Arabidopsis thaliana: one gene and its partners. The protein of the gene in region 2 interacts with the protein of the main gene of each other region in a pairwise test. Each region holds a gene or a part of one and is shown on either strand. Other genes may lie near its edges.

The links.
Region 1: the proteins of PKP-ALPHA (region 2) and AT1G34320 interact in a two-hybrid assay, tested with the Arabidopsis thaliana proteins (one large-scale study listed by BioGRID).
Region 3: the proteins of PKP-ALPHA (region 2) and AT5G14390 interact in a two-hybrid assay, tested with the Arabidopsis thaliana proteins (one large-scale study listed by BioGRID).
Region 4: the proteins of PKP-ALPHA (region 2) and AT3G56130 interact in a two-hybrid assay, tested with the Arabidopsis thaliana proteins (one large-scale study listed by BioGRID).

What each region holds. Positions count from the first base shown.
Region 1 is NC_003070.9:12,518,045-12,524,899, forward strand, and holds AT1G34320 (Ikzf5 (DUF668)), read left to right. Parts: upstream 1-2,014; 5' UTR 2,015-2,335; exon of another isoform or gene 2,336-2,449; 5' UTR 2,450-2,668; coding exon 2,669-2,983; intron 2,984-3,063; coding exon 3,064-3,389; intron 3,390-3,476; coding exon 3,477-3,569; intron 3,570-3,664; coding exon 3,665-3,755; intron 3,756-3,841; coding exon 3,842-3,935; intron 3,936-4,065; coding exon 4,066-4,169; intron 4,170-4,270; coding exon 4,271-4,340; intron 4,341-4,472; coding exon 4,473-4,576; intron 4,577-4,791; coding exon 4,792-4,908; intron 4,909-5,036; coding exon 5,037-5,113; intron 5,114-5,322; coding exon 5,323-5,367; intron 5,368-5,464; coding exon 5,465-6,002; 3' UTR 6,003-6,333; downstream 6,334-6,855. UniProt on the Arabidopsis thaliana protein: Promotes seedling growth probably via the regulation of phytosulfokine (PSK) signaling; PSK are peptide phytohormones acting as growth factors. Together with PSI2 and PSI3, required during vegetative growth and reproduction.
Region 2 is NC_003074.8:8,137,465-8,142,582, forward strand, and holds PKP-ALPHA (Pyruvate kinase family protein), read left to right. Parts: upstream 1-1,720; 5' UTR 1,721-1,904; coding exon 1,905-2,507; intron 2,508-2,606; coding exon 2,607-2,697; intron 2,698-2,802; coding exon 2,803-2,996; intron 2,997-3,188; coding exon 3,189-3,310; intron 3,311-3,450; coding exon 3,451-3,929; intron 3,930-4,005; coding exon 4,006-4,307; 3' UTR 4,308-4,588; downstream 4,589-5,118. Other genes in the region: ARFC1 (ADP-ribosylation factor C1), read right to left, coding at 1-49; AT3G22961 (Paired amphipathic helix (PAH2) superfamily protein), read left to right, coding at 4,674-5,118.
Region 3 is NC_003076.8:4,636,760-4,641,762, reverse strand, and holds AT5G14390 (alpha/beta-Hydrolases superfamily protein), read left to right. Parts: upstream 1-1,927; 5' UTR 1,928-2,187; coding exon 2,188-2,489; intron 2,490-3,121; coding exon 3,122-3,158; intron 3,159-3,258; coding exon 3,259-3,495; intron 3,496-3,587; coding exon 3,588-3,635; intron 3,636-3,726; coding exon 3,727-4,212; 3' UTR 4,213-4,476; downstream 4,477-5,003.
Region 4 is NC_003074.8:20,825,035-20,829,783, forward strand, and holds AT3G56130 (biotin/lipoyl attachment domain-containing protein), read left to right. Parts: upstream 1-1,541; 5' UTR 1,542-1,817; coding exon 1,818-1,851; intron 1,852-2,111; coding exon 2,112-2,285; intron 2,286-2,588; coding exon 2,589-2,659; exon of another isoform or gene 2,660-2,815; coding exon of another isoform or gene 2,816-2,866; coding exon 2,867-2,920; coding exon of another isoform or gene 2,921-2,924; intron 2,925-3,103; coding exon 3,104-3,370; intron 3,371-3,469; coding exon 3,470-3,532; intron 3,533-3,616; coding exon 3,617-3,685; coding exon of another isoform or gene 3,686-3,697; exon of another isoform or gene 3,698-3,764; coding exon 3,765-3,810; coding exon of another isoform or gene 3,811-3,872; exon of another isoform or gene 3,873-3,905; coding exon 3,906-3,973; 3' UTR 3,974-4,236; downstream 4,237-4,749. Other genes in the region: AT3G56120 (S-adenosyl-L-methionine-dependent methyltransferases superfamily protein), read left to right, coding at 1-122, 235-333, 429-572, 854-960, 1,101-1,175, 1,267-1,323; AT3G56140 (DUF399 family protein, putative (DUF399 and DUF3411)), read left to right, coding at 4,373-4,749.

The DNA of each region.
Region 1 (6,855 bases), on a different chromosome or scaffold from region 2:
TCAAGTTCTGGACACAACTACCTTTTATCTTTTTGAATTTAATGTTAAATTATATTCAAAATAAAAATAAACGTTTTTCTTTGAATTTAACTCTATTTGTTTTATTTTGGAAAGTTGATGAGTGATTGTCGGTAACTATACTAAAAAATGGTTTTGCATTTTTCTATAGGTGTGGTATGCCTTGGTACGTGGAGGAAACAAGTTAGACACATAAGCACATATGTACTAGACGCAAATAATGTCACAAAAACGGTTTAAAATATCTAGTTTTCAGTTTGTATGTCGTACTTATAACCGAACGTGTGTGAAGTTCTCATGTCATGTACCAGTTCTGTTAAACTAATGAAATATGTTCAGAGGTTTATGACCACTATAACTATTAGACCTGATTTCAATTAATCAAGAAAAATCCAAACTTTTTAATATATGCATTATGCTTTACAAAATTGTTTGATCTTCTACTGATGTAAAGACATTTACAAAATATAGTTATTTAATTGATTCTAACTAATTTGTTCGCGCATAGCGCGGGCCGTAAACTAGTATTTGATAATTCAGGTGCCTTTGTTTTGTTTTCTTGTATTAGGAGTGTGGGGGCTAATGAATTAGTTACAAAAAATATAAATTGAATTGTGGAATCATTTGACCAAAAAATTGAGCAAAAAAAGAAAGAAAAAGAAATGTAGAATCAAAATATTCATGATGAATTGCGATGGAGACAGAAGAATAACTCAAAAGATTTGACCAATGTGAACTTGTTGAAACGTGGAATTGGTCCAAAAGAGAGGCAACCTTATCATTAAATTAGGCTAATTCGCAGTTAAATAAGTAGCCTAAAATACTAAGAATTAATTTCACTTAGTTTATCATTGAAATTGGTTTAGGATCATGTTTATGAAAATACGATTGAAATCTCTTTCTGTTTTTTTTTACAACTACAAACTACTAATTAATATTGAAATCTCAAGACTTGAAAAAAAAAAGATAAAAACTCGCTTGTAATTTGTTTTTCTTTTGAATAATTATAACATTCCAAATAAATGATCATACCTTTGAAGTTCCAAATCATTTTATAGCTTTTATCTTTTATGTAATAAATAAGCTATGGGCCATCACATTCCATTTATTTACATAAATACTAAATGATAATAACAATTATTTTCCTATATGATATCAACATTTTTTTTTTATTCAAGCTTCCTACCTTTGACCATGCTATAAAGCTATTATGACATTGCCACACATAGGTTATTTGGTAAAACAATGTAATTTGAAACCTACTTTAGATTCTGTTGTCCTTTACTTGGTAAAAAGTCAACTTTCATTTTCAAAACTAGATATGCATATACATGTTGACTGATTTTCTTCACCTTTTTCTATTTCAAGGACTTACAATAATTACCAAATACTTCCTTCATTCACACAATCAAAGGTACAAAATGGTTAAATATTTCAAAATTTACTACTTGATACAACTTAGTTTACTACTTGGAATATACAACAAAAGATATTATATTGTAATTCTTTTATATAACCATAACTCTTTTTTGCCTCAATAATATTGAATTAGAATGATTTCAAACAAAAGAAAAATAGATTGAAATCACAAAGAGAAAACAATATTTATTCCGAATCTTATAACTCGACGAAAATCGATTTTATCGACATTAATTATTCCATCACAATACTAATTTAAATTCCAAAAAACACCTATCAAAAGTGAATTTTCGCATAACAAACTCGAAACATTACACCGATATGTATTTGATGATAATTTGATAACAACATATGGTATTCTTCGAAATTGACGTGTCTTTATTTCTGATTTCTGTTGAAGTGATCCCAATTCAAAGAATTTCAATGAAATCCATTTAAAAGACTATATAAACATAAATTTAACTATGTAAATAAAATTTGGTAACATACAAAATAATTCTAATTATGTAGTAATATTTGATAATATAAAATATACTGCAACTTGTTAGTAAAAAAATAATAAAAATGTGTAAATGGGATTGAGAGTTTTGAAGAGTGTAGAAATGGGTAAAACGAGAAAAAGCCTTTGGGGGTTGAATTTTTGGCTAACTTCACCATCTGACACTCTCCAACTCCTCCTCTCTCTTCAGACTAACCCAAATTCAATTCATCTCTCCTCTCTCTCTCTTTCTCGAGTCGCGTTTCTTCTTCTCTTTTCCTTGTAGACATCTCCACGATTCTTCAGCTGAGAGCTTCTCACTTCTCTCTAGAGCTTTGCTCAAGAACTAGCGACGAAGAAGAAGAAGAAGAATCTGAACTTCAATCTAATTCCCAGATCCAAGTTTCTGACTCTTCTTAGGTCTTTCTTCTCCATTCCTTCAAGCTACTGAATTGAATTTGTCGTTTTGGGTTCTTCTTTAGCTAGGGTTTTCGATTTCCTCTTGACTTTAAAATCTTCTTGATTCATTGGCAGGTTTCGTATGAGAGAATCAAGTTTTTTTCCACTGAGCAATTTGCTCCATTAATGGACTGTTGCTTTCATACAAATCAGGATTTGCGATTACAGTGTTTCGCTGGTTACATTGTTCATCCATTTCAAGTTTCCTAGAGAGTTCAATCCGAGATCAGAGTTTTTTTTTGCGTATGGAGAGTTTCGAGAGAGTTTGAGAGCTAAATTTGGAAACTTGCTGTGATGGGTGGGCTTTGTTCAAGGAGTTCATCTGTAAATAATGCTCCTGGTGGAACCTTTGCACATGTTAATGGTCATCATCTCAATAACAATGCCTCTGACTTGAATTCTCATTCTGGTGAAAGTGGACTTAAAGATGATCCTTCTCCTGTTACCGAGAATGTTGATGATAATAAGCATACATCGGAATCGTTTTCGTTTCCTATAGTCTCTAGTGGATCTCATCCTCAAAATATCGAGGATGGGATTCCTCGGTTATCGAGGGTTTTATCTCAGAAATCTAGATCCACTAAGTCTAGACAAGCTGCTGTTGCTAAGGTATATAAAGAAATGTTAAGCTGTTGTGTGTTGTTAGTTCTGAGTTCAAATTTATTATACTAAGGTGTTTTTGTTTATAGGTTTCGGAAGTAAGCTCTCTTTTGGGTAGGGCTGGTACTATGGGACTTGGTAAAGCTGTGGATGTGTTGGATACACTCGGGAGTAGTATGACGAATCTGAATCTTAGTGGGGGGTTTTCTTCTGCGACGACGGTGAAAGGGAATAAGATATCAATCTTGTCTTTTGAAGTTGCTAATACTATTGTTAAAGGCGCCAATCTTATGCATTCTCTTTCGAAAGATAGCATTACTCATTTGAAAGAGGTTGTGTTACCTTCAGAAGGTGTTCAGAACCTGATATCGAAAGACATGGATGAACTGTTGAGAATTGCTGCTGCTGATAAAAGGTAACAATTGTTTGTGATTGTGTTCTGTGTTGATGCTGTTTTCTAATTTGTAGTTTGGAGATAAGTGACGGTTGAAATTGTATACAGGGAAGAGTTGAGGATTTTTTCTGGAGAGGTGGTGCGTTTTGGGAATCGTTGCAAGGATCCTCAATACCACAACCTGGATCGTTTCTTTGACAGGTTCCAACATGATCCTGTCACTTTGGTGGTCACACAACGGGTGTATTCCTTTTGGAAAGTATCTGACTTTTCATTAGTTCTGTGTTATGATTTAGGTTGGGCTCTGAATTTACACCCCAGAAACACTTGAAACAGGAAGCAGAGACCATTATGCACCAGATGATGTCATTTGTTCATTTTACAGCTGTACGTATTTTCATGCAAAATTGTGATATTTGGTCCTGTTTGACTTCCTCAATAGCGATCTACTCTGAGTATATGTTATGTTTCAGGACTTGTATCATGAACTCCATGCGCTGGATAGGTTTGAACAAGATTACCAACGTAAGATCCAGGAAGAAGAGAACCCAAGCACAGCACAACGAGGTAAGTACCAAAAAGAAAATATCTATTCTTAATATCTTTGGGAATGGATGCTATTGTTTTACACTCTAGTTTCTTCTATTTGTTGGATGTCGTTCTAATTTATCTTCCATTTTTTCTCCTTTTACATAAGGTGTGGGAGATACCCTCGCTATCTTGAGAACTGAATTAAAGAGTCAGAAGAAGCATGTTAGAAACTTAAAGAAAAAGTCTCTTTGGTCTAGGATCTTGGAAGAGGTAAGGGCTGCAATAAACGTATAATATTTCCTTTTATTTGGAGTTGCTTGGCTCATCTGCATTCACAATTGCTAATTCTTGAAAATACTAATAATACTTAGGTGATGGAGAAACTAGTAGATGTTGTCCATTTCTTGCATTTAGAGATTCACGAAGCCTTTGGTGGTGCGGGTGAGACTCGATTATTGGATAAAGCGTTTTCGTCTTATTTTAGCGTTCAGGAAGATAGAGGATTTAGTTATTTTCTTGTACCTAAAATGAAAGATGTACTTACAAATCATGGCCATTTCACCTGATATGCAGATCCTGATAAGCCTGCAAATGACCCGCCAATCAATCATAAAAAACTGGGCTCTGCTGGTCTTGCCTTGCATTACGCAAACATCATTACTCAAATTGATACTCTTGTAAGTATATTATTCTTTTTTATCACTTAGTTTTACTTTCAATGTTTGGCCTGTTGTCCAAACTCTAGGTTCCTGGGATTGTAAATCGTTTGTTTCTCGTATCCAATGGTCTCCCGATTTCATTAATAATCTACCTCCAAGCATCAGCAATAATAATATGATTGGACCCATACGGCTTGTGGAATATATTTTAAATTTATCATTTCTATGAGTAGGTGTCCCGGTCTAGCACTATGCCTGCAAGCACAAGAGATGCTTTGTACCAAGGTTTACCCCCAAGCATAAAATCTGCTTTACGCTCCAGAATACAGTCCTTCCAGGTTAAAGAAGAGGTATTAATACTGTTTCACACTTCCCATAATGCTTTTGTGCTGACAAGATGAATTTACCATGTCCAGTGTTACTTGAAATGTTATTTGTATCCCTGCTCACCTCACTATATCTGATTTGTTTTCACCAGCTCACTGTTCCTCAAATAAAAGCTGAAATGGAAAAAACATTGCAGTGGCTTGTTCCTGTTGCTACAAACACCACCAAGTAAGCTTCTGTGATGTTTTCTATCTCTTTATCTTTGGTTTTGTGTCATCATTAGAACTCTGTTCTCACTTAAATCATGTATTTTTTTTTGGCGGATCAATGGAACATGTGATGTCTTAATTCTGTTAACAAAAGCATGTAAAATTCCCTTAGTTTTAACTATTAAAGTAAGTCAGACTTATTCTTCTGTCTTTTCTTTTCTCAACCAGAGCGCATCATGGTTTTGGATGGGTTGGAGAATGGGCAAGTTCCGGGTAAGCCCTGACTACAAGCTGATTCTCTCTTTGTGCTGTGTATATATGCAGACAACTGCATTCTTTACTAAATGTTAGATTATGCAAAATAACTCAGGTCGGAGGCGAACCAGAGACCTGCAGGTCAAACCATACTAAGGATAGATACTCTTCACCATGCAGATAAAGAAAAAACCGAGGCTTACATATTAGACCTGGTGGTGTGGCTCCATCATCTCGTTACCCAAGTCAGGGCCACTACAGGTTATGGCCTAAGATCTCCTGTTAAGTCTCCAATCAGATCACCTAACCAGAAAACGATCCAACTCTCCAGCGGTTCACACAACCCGAGTATGGGTTTGCCATTGCTGACTACGGAGGATCAAGAGATGCTTAGAGATGTAAGCAAGCGGAGAAAGACGCCAGGAATAAGCAAGAGCCAAGAGTTTGAAACGGTGGCTAAAGCACGTCTTTGTAAGCACCATAGGCTAAGCAAAAGCAGTAGCCACTCACCAATGATGGGCGAGATGATGAAGAATAAGAAGGATACTTTCTCAACCAGAAGACCTTCTTCTGTTCCCATCATTGATTTTGACATTGATCGCATGAAAGCTCTCGATGTGATTGATCGCGTGGACACCATTCGAAGCTTGTAGTTAACTACTTCCACTCCATCAGAGTTCAGAATAGGGGTTGAATGGATGGGAAACACCACTCTCTTATCACCAAAAGTTGTTGATATGATGAAGAATCTGAATGTGATTCATCGCACGGTGCCATCGAAACCCTTTATAGGTGATGAAAAAATGGCAGAGGTTAGTAACTTTGTACTCTTTTTGGTTTTTGTGGGTGTAATTTGGTTTGGTTTTTTAGCATTTCCTTTGTATTTGTTGTTCTTTTTCTTCTTATAGTTGTATTGTGTACATACAAGAAACTTTATTACATATGTTTGGAGAATAAAAATAGATTATCTTTCCAAATGGATTAAACTCGAATTTAGACTAATAATCACCAGAGAAGCAACTGATAATTGAGAATCATAGTCTTATTAGCAGTAATTAACATTTGTAAAACGCCATAAATGTACTTCACATTACAACGCAAACAAACATCATCATTAGCTAATTGGCTTAGCCAGAGATCTCAATGGACTTAACTTGAGCCTTCATATTTTTGTAATCGTTAGATATAGAAACTATATTCATCCAGCACATGATAATGTGTGTATTTGATATAGAAGAAAATATCAATTGAAGGTGGCATGCAAATTTGATTTATGTTTGATCATTCCAACTGCACAGTCTTATAAACTAAACTTTATAAACGTGACGTTGTACAACATCTCGATGCGTCTGTAGATGTCCTTTCCGCTCATTTGTACTTCGTTTTGGACAGAATGCTTCTCAGTCTGAGCATCCAAGTTACCTTGGATTTGCAGGCCGTCATCGACTCATCGGCTCTCGATGATGCTCAGTGGTCATCCAAGTTTTTTTTTTATCCAAAAGTTTG
Region 2 (5,118 bases):
CTTTTGCAGGAAACATCATGAACCAAAACCTCGACATGAATGCTCCCATCTCCTCCAATTTCTATCACAAACAAGATCCTAATCAAATAAAACACATCATTACTTTTACGATCAAATTGTTCTACAAACAGAGTGAAATCGAGAAACCCTAAAGATACATCCTTTAAATTGACCCATCAATTTTACAAACCCAAGTAATTGAATCAGAGAAGCCCAGATCAGATTTGGATACAACGATCCCAGATTCGATAAAGTTAACCAAATCTAAATTATATATATACAAATCGGGAAATTTGTGATCAAACCTTGAATCAGCTAGAATCTGAAGATTGCAGAGGTAAGAATCGGAGATCAAAAAAAGTTCTTCTTCTACTATTTTGTAAGCTTTTGAGGTTCCTTCCTTAAAGCAGATGGGTGGAGAGAAGAAGAAGAAGAAAAGTATGCGGGAAACAATGTCAAAACTGTAAATATGATGATCTAAATTATTAATAACTTTTAATATAACAAATATTAAAATGAAAACTATATAGTAATGTTTTCTTTTACTTACCCAAACGGCTGCAGCCTCTACCGTAATGGCACCGAACACGTCACCGCCATTAGCCACGACGCCAAAGACGAACATTGTTGAAGACTTGAAATCCACAAAGATGTTTTTAAACGAGAAAAAAAAAAACTCAAACGGGCTTAGGGCCTTTCCATATATTTTAGATTATAACAATTACATTTTCTCGGCCCACAGAAGTATATAAAATTAAATAGAAGTAAATTATATTGAGGATTTAAAATAACAAATTTAATTATAATTTGAAATCATGGTTATAATACGATCGTGTGAAATGTTAATTAAATGCTTATATTGATTATTTTATTATTAAATTTGTGCTAATTTTGGTAACGAATCTTATTTTTGTTATTGTATACGATGATTTAAAATATATATATATATATATATATATATATATATATATATATATATATAATAGTTCTAGAAAAGTCTAATTGGATTTTTTAGATCCTATCATAGTTGATAGTTCTCTTTTTGTATATGGCTAGCAATGCGGAATCGACTCTCTACATTAGATTCAATGAAGGCTTGGAATGTGAACTTGAATCGAACATGTGTGTTATGTAACACTCTTATCGAGACACGAGAGCACTTGTTTTTCAGCTGTAAGTACTCGTCGGCAGTCTGGTCCTCCCTAGCGAAACCACTACTCTAGTGACGATTCTCTACAATATGGCAAGCTCTAGTCATTATTATTACTTCTGATCACTGTAACAGAATCCATATATTCTTCCTCTAATACAGTTTTCAAATAATGGTTCATTCGATTTGGCGAGAACGCAATAAAAAAAACACACAATAAAACTCTGATTCTTATCACACATCTTCCTAAGTGAATAGATAAGCTGGAAAAAAAAAAAACTCTCAATCATTTGAAAGGAGAAATATAGTAGATACGAACCAAATCTCCAAACATGGTTTGCATCTAAAAGTCCTTAAAACCTCTCTTGTATAATCTAATTTCAAAACAATTTTGGAAAAGTTACATTTGATGTATCCTAACTTTATTTTTTCTTGGTCGAATTTAATATTTTATTAAAAATAATAATAGTAATAATCACAAAATCTAATTTGATCATTCTTAGGTGGGTAGGTACACTTATTTTACATACAGCCTCGACGGCACCAAAACATAGAATATATATATAAATACAAATACAAATATTCCAAATATAACCTCTCTCCCAAAGTCCTATCATATCAGAAAAAAAAAAAAAAATCCAAATTCAACACTCTCACACTTCGATATCTCCGCCTTCATTCTCCTCAGAGCCAACTGTCCTGAGATTTCGATTTCGATTTCTCCGATCTCTCTTCCTCCGTCGCCGGCGAAACCATGTCTCAGTCTATTCAATTCTCCACTCCTTCACACACTCCTCACCTTCTCCATCTCCCTCACTCACAATTCAACCGTCCTCTCTCCTCTATCTCCTTCCGTCGCTTCCCTCTAACAACCATCAAATACACTTCCATCAGAGCCTCCTCGTCATCATCTCCTTCACCGGATCTCGATTCATCGTCCTCATCATCATCCTCGCAAGTACTTCTCTCACCTAACGGTACTGGTGCTGTGAAGTCTGATGAGAGATCCGTTGTCGCTACGGCGGTTACGACTGATACGTCTGGGATTGAGGTTGATACTGTGACGGAAGCTGAGCTTAAGGAGAATGGATTTAGAAGTACGAGGAGGACGAAGCTGATCTGTACGATCGGACCGGCGACTTGTGGATTTGAGCAGCTTGAGGCGCTTGCTGTGGGAGGTATGAATGTGGCAAGGCTTAATATGTGTCACGGTACGCGTGATTGGCACCGCGGTGTGATTCGTAGTGTTCGGAGGCTTAATGAGGAGAAAGGCTTTGCGGTTGCTATTATGATGGATACTGAAGGTAGTGAGATTCATATGGGAGATCTTGGTGGTGAAGCTTCAGCTAAAGCAGAGGTTGTTTAATCTCTTCTTATTTTGATTTGAATTCGATGTAGACATTGCTGTGTTTGTGATTTAGATGTTTAAGCTTTGGTGGTGATGACATTTTTACAGGATGGTGAGGTTTGGACTTTCACTGTTAGAGCTTTTGATTCTTCTCGTCCTGAACGTACCATTAGTGTTAGCTACGATGGTTTCGCTGAAGGTATATGCAATTATGTTTATGTAAAAGTGGAAGTGAAAACATTAGATGAATATTATGGTGACTGCGTATGAAATAGGAATCATTTGGTCTTTGTGTGTGGTGTAGATGTAAGAGTTGGGGATGAACTTTTGGTTGATGGTGGGATGGTGAGATTTGAAGTGATTGAGAAGATTGGTCCTGATGTTAAGTGTCTATGTACCGATCCTGGATTGTTGCTTCCTCGAGCTAACTTGACGTTTTGGAGAGATGGAAGTCTTGTACGAGAGCGTAATGCCATGCTTCCAACAATTTCTTCCAAGGTTTGTAATTTTGTATCTTCCCTTTAAGCTTTGAATTATGATTCACTTTACTTGGTAAATTTGGGAGGGATCAAAGCAATGGTGAAGATGTACACTTTTGGAAACTAGATGAGTCCATGTTAGCAAAACAGATGATACCTGAGGGAAAACATACTCATTTTCACTGATGATACCTCAATTCTTTATATTCAGGACTGGTTGGATATTGATTTTGGAATTGCTGAAGGTGTGGATTTCATTGCTGTATCGTTTGTCAAGTCGGCTGAAGTCATTAATCACCTTAAAAGTTATCTTGCTGCTCGTTCCCGTGGAGGGTAAGTAAACATGCTCAATATCAACACATCATACTACTGTACAGGAAACATATGATCTACTTTGGGATTGGGTTTTGCGTCATGTATTCACCATCTTTAGTTATAGTTTTATTTTGATGTTGTATTCAACTATGATGCAGGGAAATTGGAGTGATTGCAAAGATCGAGAGTATCGATTCACTGACCAATTTGGAAGAAATTATTCTAGCATCAGATGGGGCCATGGTTGCAAGAGGAGATCTGGGAGCTCAGATACCTCTTGAGCAAGTTCCAGCAGCTCAACAGAGAATCGTCCAAGTATGCAGAGCTCTTAACAAACCCGTCATTGTCGCTTCACAGCTATTGGAGTCCATGATTGAGTACCCAACTCCAACCAGAGCAGAAGTTGCCGACGTGTCTGAAGCAGTAAGACAAAGATCAGATGCATTGATGCTCTCTGGAGAATCAGCTATGGGACAATTCCCAGACAAGGCGCTCACGGTTCTAAGGACTGTCAGTTTAAGAATCGAGAGATGGTGGAGGGAAGAGAAACGCCATGAGTCTGTACCGCTTCAAGCCATAGGCTCTTCATTTTCAGACAAAATCTCAGAAGAGATCTGTAACTCAGCTGCTAAAATGGGTAAATTTAGGTTCTTTGTTTTCCATAGAAGGCAATATGTCTTTAGTGTCTCATTTTACTATCCAAAAACTTGCAGCTAACAATCTTGGAGTGGACGCGGTTTTCGTTTACACAACGAGCGGACACATGGCATCACTGGTCTCCCGATGTCGCCCGGACTGCCCGATCTTTGCTTTCACAACCACAACCTCAGTGAGAAGACGCTTAAACCTACAATGGGGACTTATCCCATTCCGTCTCAGCTTCTCAGACGACATGGAAAGCAACTTGAACAAAACATTCTCGTTACTGAAATCAAGAGGTATGATCAAATCTGGTGACCTCGTGATCGCAGTCTCGGACATGCTGCAATCAATCCAGGTAATGAACGTCCCGTAATTCTCTCTCTTTATACAATTTCGCAATCCCGCAAAAGAGTGTTTTGTTTCCTACTTTTGTTACTGTTTTTAGACTACTCTTACATTAGATTCCAGAGGCATCATCATCTTCGGTTTGTTAACAACAGTAATGTGTAAGCTTTGTTTGTAGTGTGTACTGTTTGTTTTTGGTTTTCAATAATATCAGTAATCTTATTCAAATATTCGATTCTATCATTTAGTCCTTTTGTTTTATCTTTTTGTTAGGATATATATGTAAACCCAAATAGGATGAGTTCGAATATATACCATAACCCTATATTATAAATAGTGTATATATAATCACAATTAGAATCGCCTCTCCATTAGAGAAGATATTTGAACAAACATGAAAAGTTGCAAGAGACCTCGGATGAAGAATCAAGAGAGAGATTTTTATGAAACTCCGTCGGATTGTTCGGAAGAAGAGATTCAACGGAGTTGCGAGTTCGTGAAAAAAGTTAAAGAGTTGGATGATAAGACAATCATCGTTAAATTTTTAAATGCAATGAAGTCTTATCGATCTAAGTCTTTAAGTTACATCGATCTCAAAACCAAAGTCGCTTCTATTCTTCGTAACCACGACGCTCTGCTCCAAGAATTCCATCAGCTTCTTCTATTAGATTCACCTATCACAGAGAAGGATTGTAACTCGGCAAAATCAGACGTAGAACGCACGGTTGAGTTGATGAAGAAAGTGGAAGGTTTGGGAAAGGGTTTACACGGTGCGTTCCTAAATCAGCTGGTGTTTGGCGGTGATATTGTGGATTTGGTTGAACAACTCGACGTGATTC
Region 3 (5,003 bases), on a different chromosome or scaffold from region 2:
ACATAAATTATTTATATATATTAAGATTTTTTTTTGTCGAAGTAAGCAAGTAAGACCATCTCCATCGGTGGTTTCTCACTGAAAAACTCCAAATAAAAATAAATCAAAAATATGAAAATAATAATTTTTTAATCAGTTTTTCTCAGAATCGTTTTTGAAATGAGAAACTTGGAGAAACTTTCTCTCTCTTCCATATGTCACCTTGTTATTAATTTCTTTTCTTTGTTATAAATAAAATTATCTATACTTTATAACATCAATTAAATACTTTATATGTTTGTTATTTTTTTTATTTTTACTTTAAAAATTCATAAAATTAAATTATCTATATAACAAGCTCTATCATGTATATGTTTAAATTATATACGAATATTATTTAATTGGTGTTAGTTAAGCATTAAACATAATAATAACTTAAAAATACAATAGCTTTTTTTAATTAGAAAACAAACATTTAAAATTTTCTATTTTTATTTTGCAACATTCTCGGCAATCGAATTCGACTTCGTGATAGAGATATGCACCAACAACTAAAAGATGACCTAGTTGAGCATATATGACAAAAGTTTGGTGCATCATCAAATGAAGAGTAAAACCATAATAGATAATATAGTTAGCTTTGATTTATGTTATCATGGTTTTATATGTAATTTCTGTTTAATTTATATATTTTTTCTATTTAATTTATGTTATCATGGTTTTATATGTAATTTTATGTTTAATTTATATATTTTTTATTATGATTTTATATGTAAAGTAATGTTTAATTATGTTTAATTATGGTTTTAAAAATAATAAAACTATTTAATAATATAATTTGTAAAAATAAATAATTGATATGTTTGAAAATATTGTAGAGATATTAAATTTAATATAAAAACATATAATAATATGTTAATGTTAATGAGATACTCATACCAATGGAAGCACAATTTTAATATAAGTTTTTCTACTTAAATTAAACATAAACATATTAATAATATATTATGAGATACTCATGAAGTATCTCACCAATGGAGATGCTCTAAGATTCTTCTTCTAACAGGTTAAACAAAAAGTATGTGAGTTTCACTTGTGTTCTTTTAAGGTTCATTTTTCACAAGCTTGACTTGTTGCCACCACGACGTTAAGGTTTTCCTCGACGAAGCCCATGAGTACAACTTCTTAGGCCCATTATATAACAAGATTTGTGTTATTAATTAATTTATCATTTTCAGAATAATATCGTTTTCCAGAGGTTTGATTTTTTCTAATAGCTTTTTTTTTTCAACAACAGTTTGTAAAATAATTTTAAATAGTATATATCATGAGAAGAAGAAAAATAGAAATATAAGAAATTACAGCACAAGTTTAAAATTCTTTTTACGAATAATAATAATTATTAAATTGATAAAATAACATTAAAAATGATAAGCTGTCACACAAGGCATGAATGAGTGAAGACCCACCACTCCAAAATTTGCTTTCCGCTTCTAATTTTTCATGGACCCGCATTAAGCAAACCAACATACATACATACCCCTTCCTTATTCTTTTATTTTTCTTAACAATAAAAAGCTTACTAATATTATTATTCATTCTTTTGTCATCTTATATTTATATTTTTATCGTTAGTTGTTGATATTTATTTCTTGTCCAATTAAATCATAACATTTAAGTGCCTTTCATGTTCTCTCACTCTTATATTTCGCCATTCCTAGCTATAAAAATACACATGTTTATGTTTAATCATAAGCTTTGATTTATCACTCCACCAACGCTAAATTATTACTCTAAACCCCTTTTTATCTGCAAAAGTAACATTATAAAAAAAATGTAACTCCATTGACATATAAACTCTAACTCGTCTGCGAATCTCTATAGTTTTAATATCTTAATCTCTTTTAATTTCAGATTGCATAAAAAAACATTTTTCAGGGAAAGTAATCTTCAATTTTCTGTAGTTAAAATATGGCAATTTTAAAATAATAATAAGCCAAAGCTCGAAACTTTAATAAACAGTTTTTGTTCATTCTCTTGCTTTACCATTTCAAAGTGCCACTTTTTCTTCCTAAATCCTCTCTCTCTCTCTCCGTTCCCGAGACAAGCAAAAGCTTCAATCTCAAATCTTTCAGCAGCTACAAAAATGTTCTTCATCTAAAAGAGACTGTGAAGCAGAGAGAGAGAGAGAGAGAGAGAGAGAGAGAGATGGGAGGTGTGACGTCATCAGTTGCGGCGAAGTTCGCTTTCTTCCCGCCGAGTCCGTCGTCTTACAAGCTGGTTTACGATGAACTGACCGGACTTCTTCTGATGAACCCATTTCCTCACCGTGAAAACGTTGAAATCCTTAAGCTTCCGACACGTAGAGGAACAGAGATCGTGGCTATGTACGTCAGACATCCGATGGCTACCTCTACTCTGCTTTATTCCCATGGAAACGCCGCCGATCTGGGCCAGATGTATGAGCTCTTCATCGAATTGAGCATCCATCTTAAGGTTAATCTCATGGGGTATGTTAAAGTTTTAGTCCTTTTCTCTCTAAGATAGCTCTGATGATGATGATTAGCTCTTCTGCTCTGAAATTGTGTTCTGTTTTGTATCTGGATTTGATCAAAGTCATAGACTTTTTTTAATGGCTATTTAGAAATTTTTTATCTGGTCCCTTGTGGGTTTTGGTATTAATGGTGTTTTGCTAAGTGAAAACGAATGAATTTGGAGTTTTTCTTTCTTTTTCTGGAGATTTGTTTATTCTTCTTGGTTTCTTTTGATACACTGTTTGATTGTTCTTTTGTGTTATTATGATTTTTCTCTGTATCGAGTTTTTGCTGATCAAGCTTTTGGTTGAAACATTTATATACATTTACTTGTTTTTGAGTCTATTGTTCATTGTCTTTTCCCAAATTTTGATTTGTTGTCTTCTTGTGTGTTTCTCTCTGGATAGTGGATACAACTTGGTTGCGTTAAGATGCTTAAACTCTTTCTATGTCTCAGATTGTGTGGAAACTTTAATTAGCTCACAATAATCTTTATGAACCAATGCATCTCTCAACTTCAGATCCTTGAGAACATTAAAAACCAAAACAACTTCATAGCTTCTTGATTCAGCTCTATAAATGTTGCTTCTCTGCTTTTGTATTTGTAGGTACGATTACTCCGGGTATGGACAATCTACTGGAAAGGTTTGTCATTTTGAGAATCGACAAGTAGAGATATCGATAATGATTTTACCCGATTCGAGTGAAAAACTAAATAACCGAACTTGTTTTCGTGTGACTGCAGCCAAGTGAGCACCATACATATGCTGATATCGAAGCTGCTTATAAATGTCTTGAGGAAACCTATGGAGCAAAACAGGAAGACATAATCCTTTATGGCCAATCCGTTGGAAGTGGACCTACATTAGATCTTGCTGCTCGGTTGCCTCAATTAAGAGCTGCTGTTCTCCATAGCCCGATTCTTTCTGGTCTAAGAGTAATGTATCCAGTGAAGAAGACATACTGGTTCGACATCTTCAAGGTATTAAATACATCATTCTTAGATGGATCATTTTCGATTTTCTTGCTTTCCTCTATCTTTTTCACAGTGTCCACTTTTAACAATATTTGCAGAATATCGACAAAATACCTCTTGTGAATTGCCCGGTTCTCGTCATTCACGTGAGTTCCATATTCATTTTACTCTCTTTTCCTTTTTTTCAGTTCGAAAACTGAGTGTATATAACTCTTTGTGGTTCTTCTCTTGTGGCAGGGAACTTGTGATGAAGTTGTTGACTGTTCTCATGGAAAACAACTATGGGAACTCTCTAAAGAGAAATATGAACCGCTTTGGCTCGAAGGCGGTAACCACTGTGATCTAGAACACTATCCTGAATACATTAAACACCTTAAGAAGTTCATCACAACCGTAGAGAGAGATCTCTCCTCGAGGGCGAGCACGGCCCAATTAGAGAAACAGAGCAGCGATTTGGAAATGCCGAGGCAGAGCGTAGATAGAAGAGAGAAGCCGAGGCAAAGCGTTGATAAAAGGGAGAAAGAGAAACCTCCAAAGGGTCCTTCAAAGAAGAGTAAGCTGAGAATCACGTTCGAGCAGCACTTAGATCGGACTAGGAGAAGCGTTGACTTCCACGAAAAGGCAAGGAAGAGCGTTGACCATCATCAGCATCATCAGAATCATCATCAGATTGAGAGAGGAAGGAAGAGTGTTGATAGATTGGATAGAGTACGGTCTGAGTAAACCGGAGAAAATCTACCACACGTACATAAGTTGTTACAGAACAAGAACATTTGATCTTGATCTTGATTGGCCATTCTAATGTTTATGGTTTTTTGTTTTGATTTGTGAGTTATTCTCTAGTTTTATTTGGGTGTGTCATTTCTTGAATGGTGAAGCTTAAATCTTAAGCAAACAAATGAGAGAAATTAGGTCTTTACAATAACCTGCTACGTAATTTATTTGACCCAACTTTTACTCGTAATATCATGCTTGGTTTATGACTCGAGTCTTGAAGAGTAGAAAAGGAAGAAAATTCGAACATTGCAAATAAAATAAAGAGGAATTAAAAACTGCACTGCACATCAAACGATGATGACAAAAAAATGATGCATATAACACAAACAAAAAGATAGAATTAAAGAGAAGTTGTCTGTTTTCTAGCTCTGTCAGAACATTAACAAATGTCTTCGAAACCGTAAGCCCCAGAAAACTTCACCATGCAGAAGTTTGTATGTTTTGGACCTTTGGTAATGACTTGTGTGTCAGTTGTGTCTTCATATTGGGGTTTTAATTTGGGCTTAGTTCGAAAGTACAGTAAACTCTTTAAGATTGCCCAAAATGTATTTTGAGACTCTAATTCTAATTTTCTGCAATACAATCAATGAATCAAACAAAAGTCAAAATCTCAGTCTCAGCTACTAATATTAGTATTCAAAAAAAAAAAAATTGTGTACGAATCCATAAATAGAAGAATTGGTTTCTAGTCCTGTTTAATTTTAAAGTACTTTCTAAAAGTAGATTATAAGATTCAT
Region 4 (4,749 bases), about 13 Mb from region 2:
TGTGCACAACATGGATGCTCGTAAATTTTTCTCTCACTTGATGGCGGTGTCAACTTGCGAGGATAATTTGCAATCAGTGGCTGATAATGATAAAACAAAGGAAGCAGCCGTGAGTCGAGGAGGTAGTTCTTTTGGTTTAAACTATTTTTTTGCATTATAGTTGGCATATTTGGTTTTACGAGAGACAAAAAATAACTTTACCGGTGGGTTTCTGTTTACTTTGCTTAATCATAGGTGAGACTAATTCCAGTGGAGAGGAAATACGTGAATCCAATGCAAGCATAAATGAGCCTCTTGGTGCAAATAAGAAGCCATCTGGTACTACAAAGACGGGTAAGAAATGCCTCATAAAGATTTCTCCAAGACATTGTTTTAGTTAATATTGCCTAATGCCTGGGGATCCTCACCAGTATGTTAATTGAGTGCAGAAAATGGGGTAGGAAAAGACTGCAAGAGTATAGAAGGACACGCAAATAAGAGATTGAGACAAACGTTGCTTCCAATCGCAAAGCCGTGGGAACATATCGACCATGTTATTATGAACCTTCCAGCATCTGCCTTGCAGTTTCTTGGTATGCTATCAATGATTCTTTATTATTTTTGTTCAAAATTTGGGACTAGAGTCTTGCATATACTTGCAAGGCATTAGAGTTTCATCAACTATCAACTACATTCCGCATCAGCAAGTTAATTAGGACCAGGACCAATAGAAATAGGAGATGCATCATGTATTAAGGCTTGTTTGAAGAGTTATGTGATTGGCTCTTCAATTTCAGTTAGAAGTAAGAAAGGAAGTCAGGATTTGTTTTTGTCACACTACTAATGCATATAAGCTCTGTAATTGTTTTTGCAGATTCGTTCAGTAATGTTATTCAAAAGAAGTATTGGAAAGGACCTCTTCCATTAATTCATTGCTATTGTTTCATCCGTGCAAGCGAAACCACAGAGTTTATAATTGCAGTAAGTATCAACCGCTCCCCTCCTGCTTGTCCCTTCTAGTTTTGTTGTCTTCACTATATCATATCTTTGTACCAAAGATCTGGTAGCGTTTTTCTGCGAGCCTTTAAATCTGATATACAGCTTCTGTTGATATTTTTAAGGAAGCTGAAACTGCTTTGAAGTTCCATATAGAAGATCCAGTCTTCCACAAGGTTAGAGATGTTGCTCCAAACAAGGTAAGATCCCACTCGTCTGTTTTTCTTTTTGATATATTATCAAAACATAGCATCTGTAGTTCCTGAGCTAGATTTCTTTTGTACTTTGCAGGCTATGTTTTGCCTAAGCTTTAGACTACCTGAAGCATGCTTGAAGCAAGAAGAGTAAAAGACATTTCTAGGAAAGAAAGAAGAATCAAAAAACGCATTTGAAATCTTTTCTTTTTGCTTTTGGTATTGTTTGTTTGATTCCATGGCACATAGAGTCAGCTACTGCATAAGTTGATAGAAAATGGGGACACTTAAATTTGCTTAATAGTATTTAACAGAAGCTGAAGACTTTTGATAAAATTAATTGATGAAAGCATATAAGAGAGATAAGAATATGCCTTTGTTAATAATACTACATTTTCAGAACTAAATTACGCCTTTTTGTTAGTATACCGGCGCATGTTAGCAAAGGAAAGTGACGGACCGTAGTGTAGTAGTAGATGCGGCGGACGGAGTTACCAAAGAAGAAGGCCGCTCAAAATAATTAAATTTGTTCAACCGTCATCTTCTTCAACTGATCTTAGCTCAACTAACACACTCTTTCTTCTTGGCGTCAATTCAATCAACCAAAACCTTTTTCTCCTATCTAGCTCACGCTTTCTTCTTCTTCCAATGGCGTCTTCTGCAGCTCTCGGATCTCTCCATCGTGAGTCTCTTGCTCTCTCACTCTCTGCGTTTTACTTATTCTGTTGATTTCATGAGGATAGGAAAACTAGAAATGGAGGACCATGAGTAAAATTTCGGAAATGAAAGGCATAGATTGGAGCTATCCGTTAGTGACGTTGTTGCTTCTTAGAGTGTAATTTAGCGACTTAATTAAGTTTCAATCTCGGATCTTGTGTGTCTAATTTGTATCAAGAGATGTTTCAGCTAGAAAAAGTGAATTTTATTTGTTCCATTTTACAGAGACTTTAGGGTCAGCCATTAATTCACAGAGTGAGGTTCACTCGCTTTCTGGAAACTGGTCTGCCTCTGGTAATTCATGTGTGCCACGGTGGAGATTATCCAACAGGAACAGCAACTACAGGCTCGTGTTACGTGCTAAGGCCGCTAAATCTTCGACAACAACCATAAGTGATGGTGAGTTTATCTTCCACAATTCTTCTTCATGTTCATTTTGCTGGTTAATGCCTTTTTTTACTATCAGGCTTGTCTCATCACTTTGCTAATACGATCCATTGGCCAAAGATGGTATTAATCTGTTTTGCTCTTAAAGGAACTGGAACTGAAATTCTTAGTCTCGTTTGCTCTTAAAGGAACTAGAAATGTAACTGTAAGCCTCGGTCTTTTACCAGCTGTCTTGGAACCAGGAGATACAGTGATGTGATATTGGAACATTTTTCTTTTATTTCCTATGACTTTTGCTTATTTTTGGCTTTGCAGGTTCATCTGATGCTAGTGTGTCAGACGGGAAGAAAACAGTTCGACGGATAACTTTCCCGAAAGAAGTGGAGGTTTCTTCCTTGCCTTTCATGGGTCTTAGATATTAGGTTCTTTAATTTATAAGTTTGGTAGGTGATGATATGACGATTTCCTCAAATATGCACTTTCTAGATCGTCAGGATTTTGGATGCATAACTTCAGGCAATCTACTCTTATAATTTTTAATCATGACGTATGGATGTACCTTTCTTTATATGTTGTTAGATGAAATGTTGCAGGCACTGGTTCACGAGATGTGTGATGAAACTGAGGTTGCTGTGCTGCAACTTAAGGCAAGTCTCTCTGCCATTAGTTTTAACTTCATTATTATTATTATTTGTAAACTTTCTTTGAGGCTACTACAAAGACGAGTGCATTTTACTCAACCAACAATATGGGGCTAAATATCACTGATTTGAGATAATAGAATGTAGGTTCCAACAATTAGACTCTTCTGAAGCTTTCTTTTGCTACAGGTTGGAGATTTCGAGATGAACCTAAAACGGAAGATTGGAGCAGCCACAAACCCCATTCCCGTGGCGGATATATCTCCAACTGTAGCGCCTCCTATTCCTTCTGAACCTATGAATAAATCTGCTTCTTCGGCTCCTAGCCCATCTCAAGCAAAGCCTTCCTCTGAGAAAGTGTCTCCATTTAAGAATACATCATATGGGAAACCAGCAAAGTTGGCTGCTTTGGAGGCATCTGGATCCACCAACTATGTGTTAGTCACATCTCCCGCAGTATGAGATCCATTTCCTAATTAGTGGTTGCTTTCATATCCCTTAATTTCTCTGCAGTTTTCTTGTTTGATTTGATCTTGTTTCTTCTCTTACCAAAAGGTGGGCAAGTTTCAGAGGAGCAGAACTGTAAAAGGAAAGAAACAATCTCCTAGCTGCAAAGAGGTAAACGACTCTAAATTCTTTTGCATCTCTTAGAACAAAAGAACAGAAATAAGATCAAAGAGCTAAGTGAAAAAAACTCCTTAGGGTGATGCAATAAAGGAAGGCCAAGTTATTGGATACTTACATCAGTTGGGAACAGAACTTCCAGTGACGGTAATATCTTAACTAATATATCCATCTCTTCTTTGAAACTATCTAATCAGACTCATCGATCTTGCTATTTGTCGAGCAGTCAGATGTAGCTGGAGAAGTCCTTAAGCTTCTTTCAGATGACGGAGGTAAACATTTGAGTATTCAAACCGTTTCATTTAGTATGAACATTCAGAAATTATATAAGTGAATTGATATGAACTCATGCTTCGTGTGCAAACAGACTCCGTAGGTTATGGAGATCCTCTGGTTGCAGTCTTGCCATCTTTCCACGACATCAACATCCAGTGATGATGGTTTCTTCAGCCCAATTCCATAGCAAATGAATAGTCTTTCATCCGGAGACTGTACTATTCATCTTCTCCTGTGTTTGTTCAATGAAGATTTGTAATCTGTTTAGTTGCAAAGAGTCTACTTTGATCTTGCTCTCATCATTTGTCACGTAATGTGGATTTTCTGCACCAGAGAAAAAAAACAATTGTGGAATTTTTATAGAAATGACGTGGCTATCTTATCTTCTCCGATCATCAAATAAAATCAAGGCTCAAAAATTCAGAAGAAAATTGACGAATGTTTTTAACAGTGAAGGAAAATATTAAAATTCTTCTCTTATTCGTATCGGTCTTAGCAATGTATGTAATACGCTGACGTGTACAAACGGAGCTCTCTTCTCAGCTCTGGCCTCTGAGAATGAAACTCACCACGAATGATCTCTTCGCTTCTCAACCATTATTTCACTGCCCTTGCTCCTCCTCCTCCCGTCCTCGCCGCCGACGTTTCTATGGCCTTCATTTTCCGATCAACCTCACCAGCGAGAAGAACAATTCTCTATCCATTGTTGCTCTTTCTGATTCCGATCTTCCATCACGAACCGCCTTCTCTCGCCGCGCTTTTCTACTCGCGCCACCACTTCTAGTCTCGGCTGCTTCCTTGTTTCTCAAACCGTCTGTCTCTTTAGCCTCCGAGGAGAGCTCGTCCGCTACAGTAACATCGCCTGCGGAATCAGCAGCTCCTCCTCCTCCTCCTGCGACCACAACACCGTCGCCGCCTCCACCCGTGAATAAGGA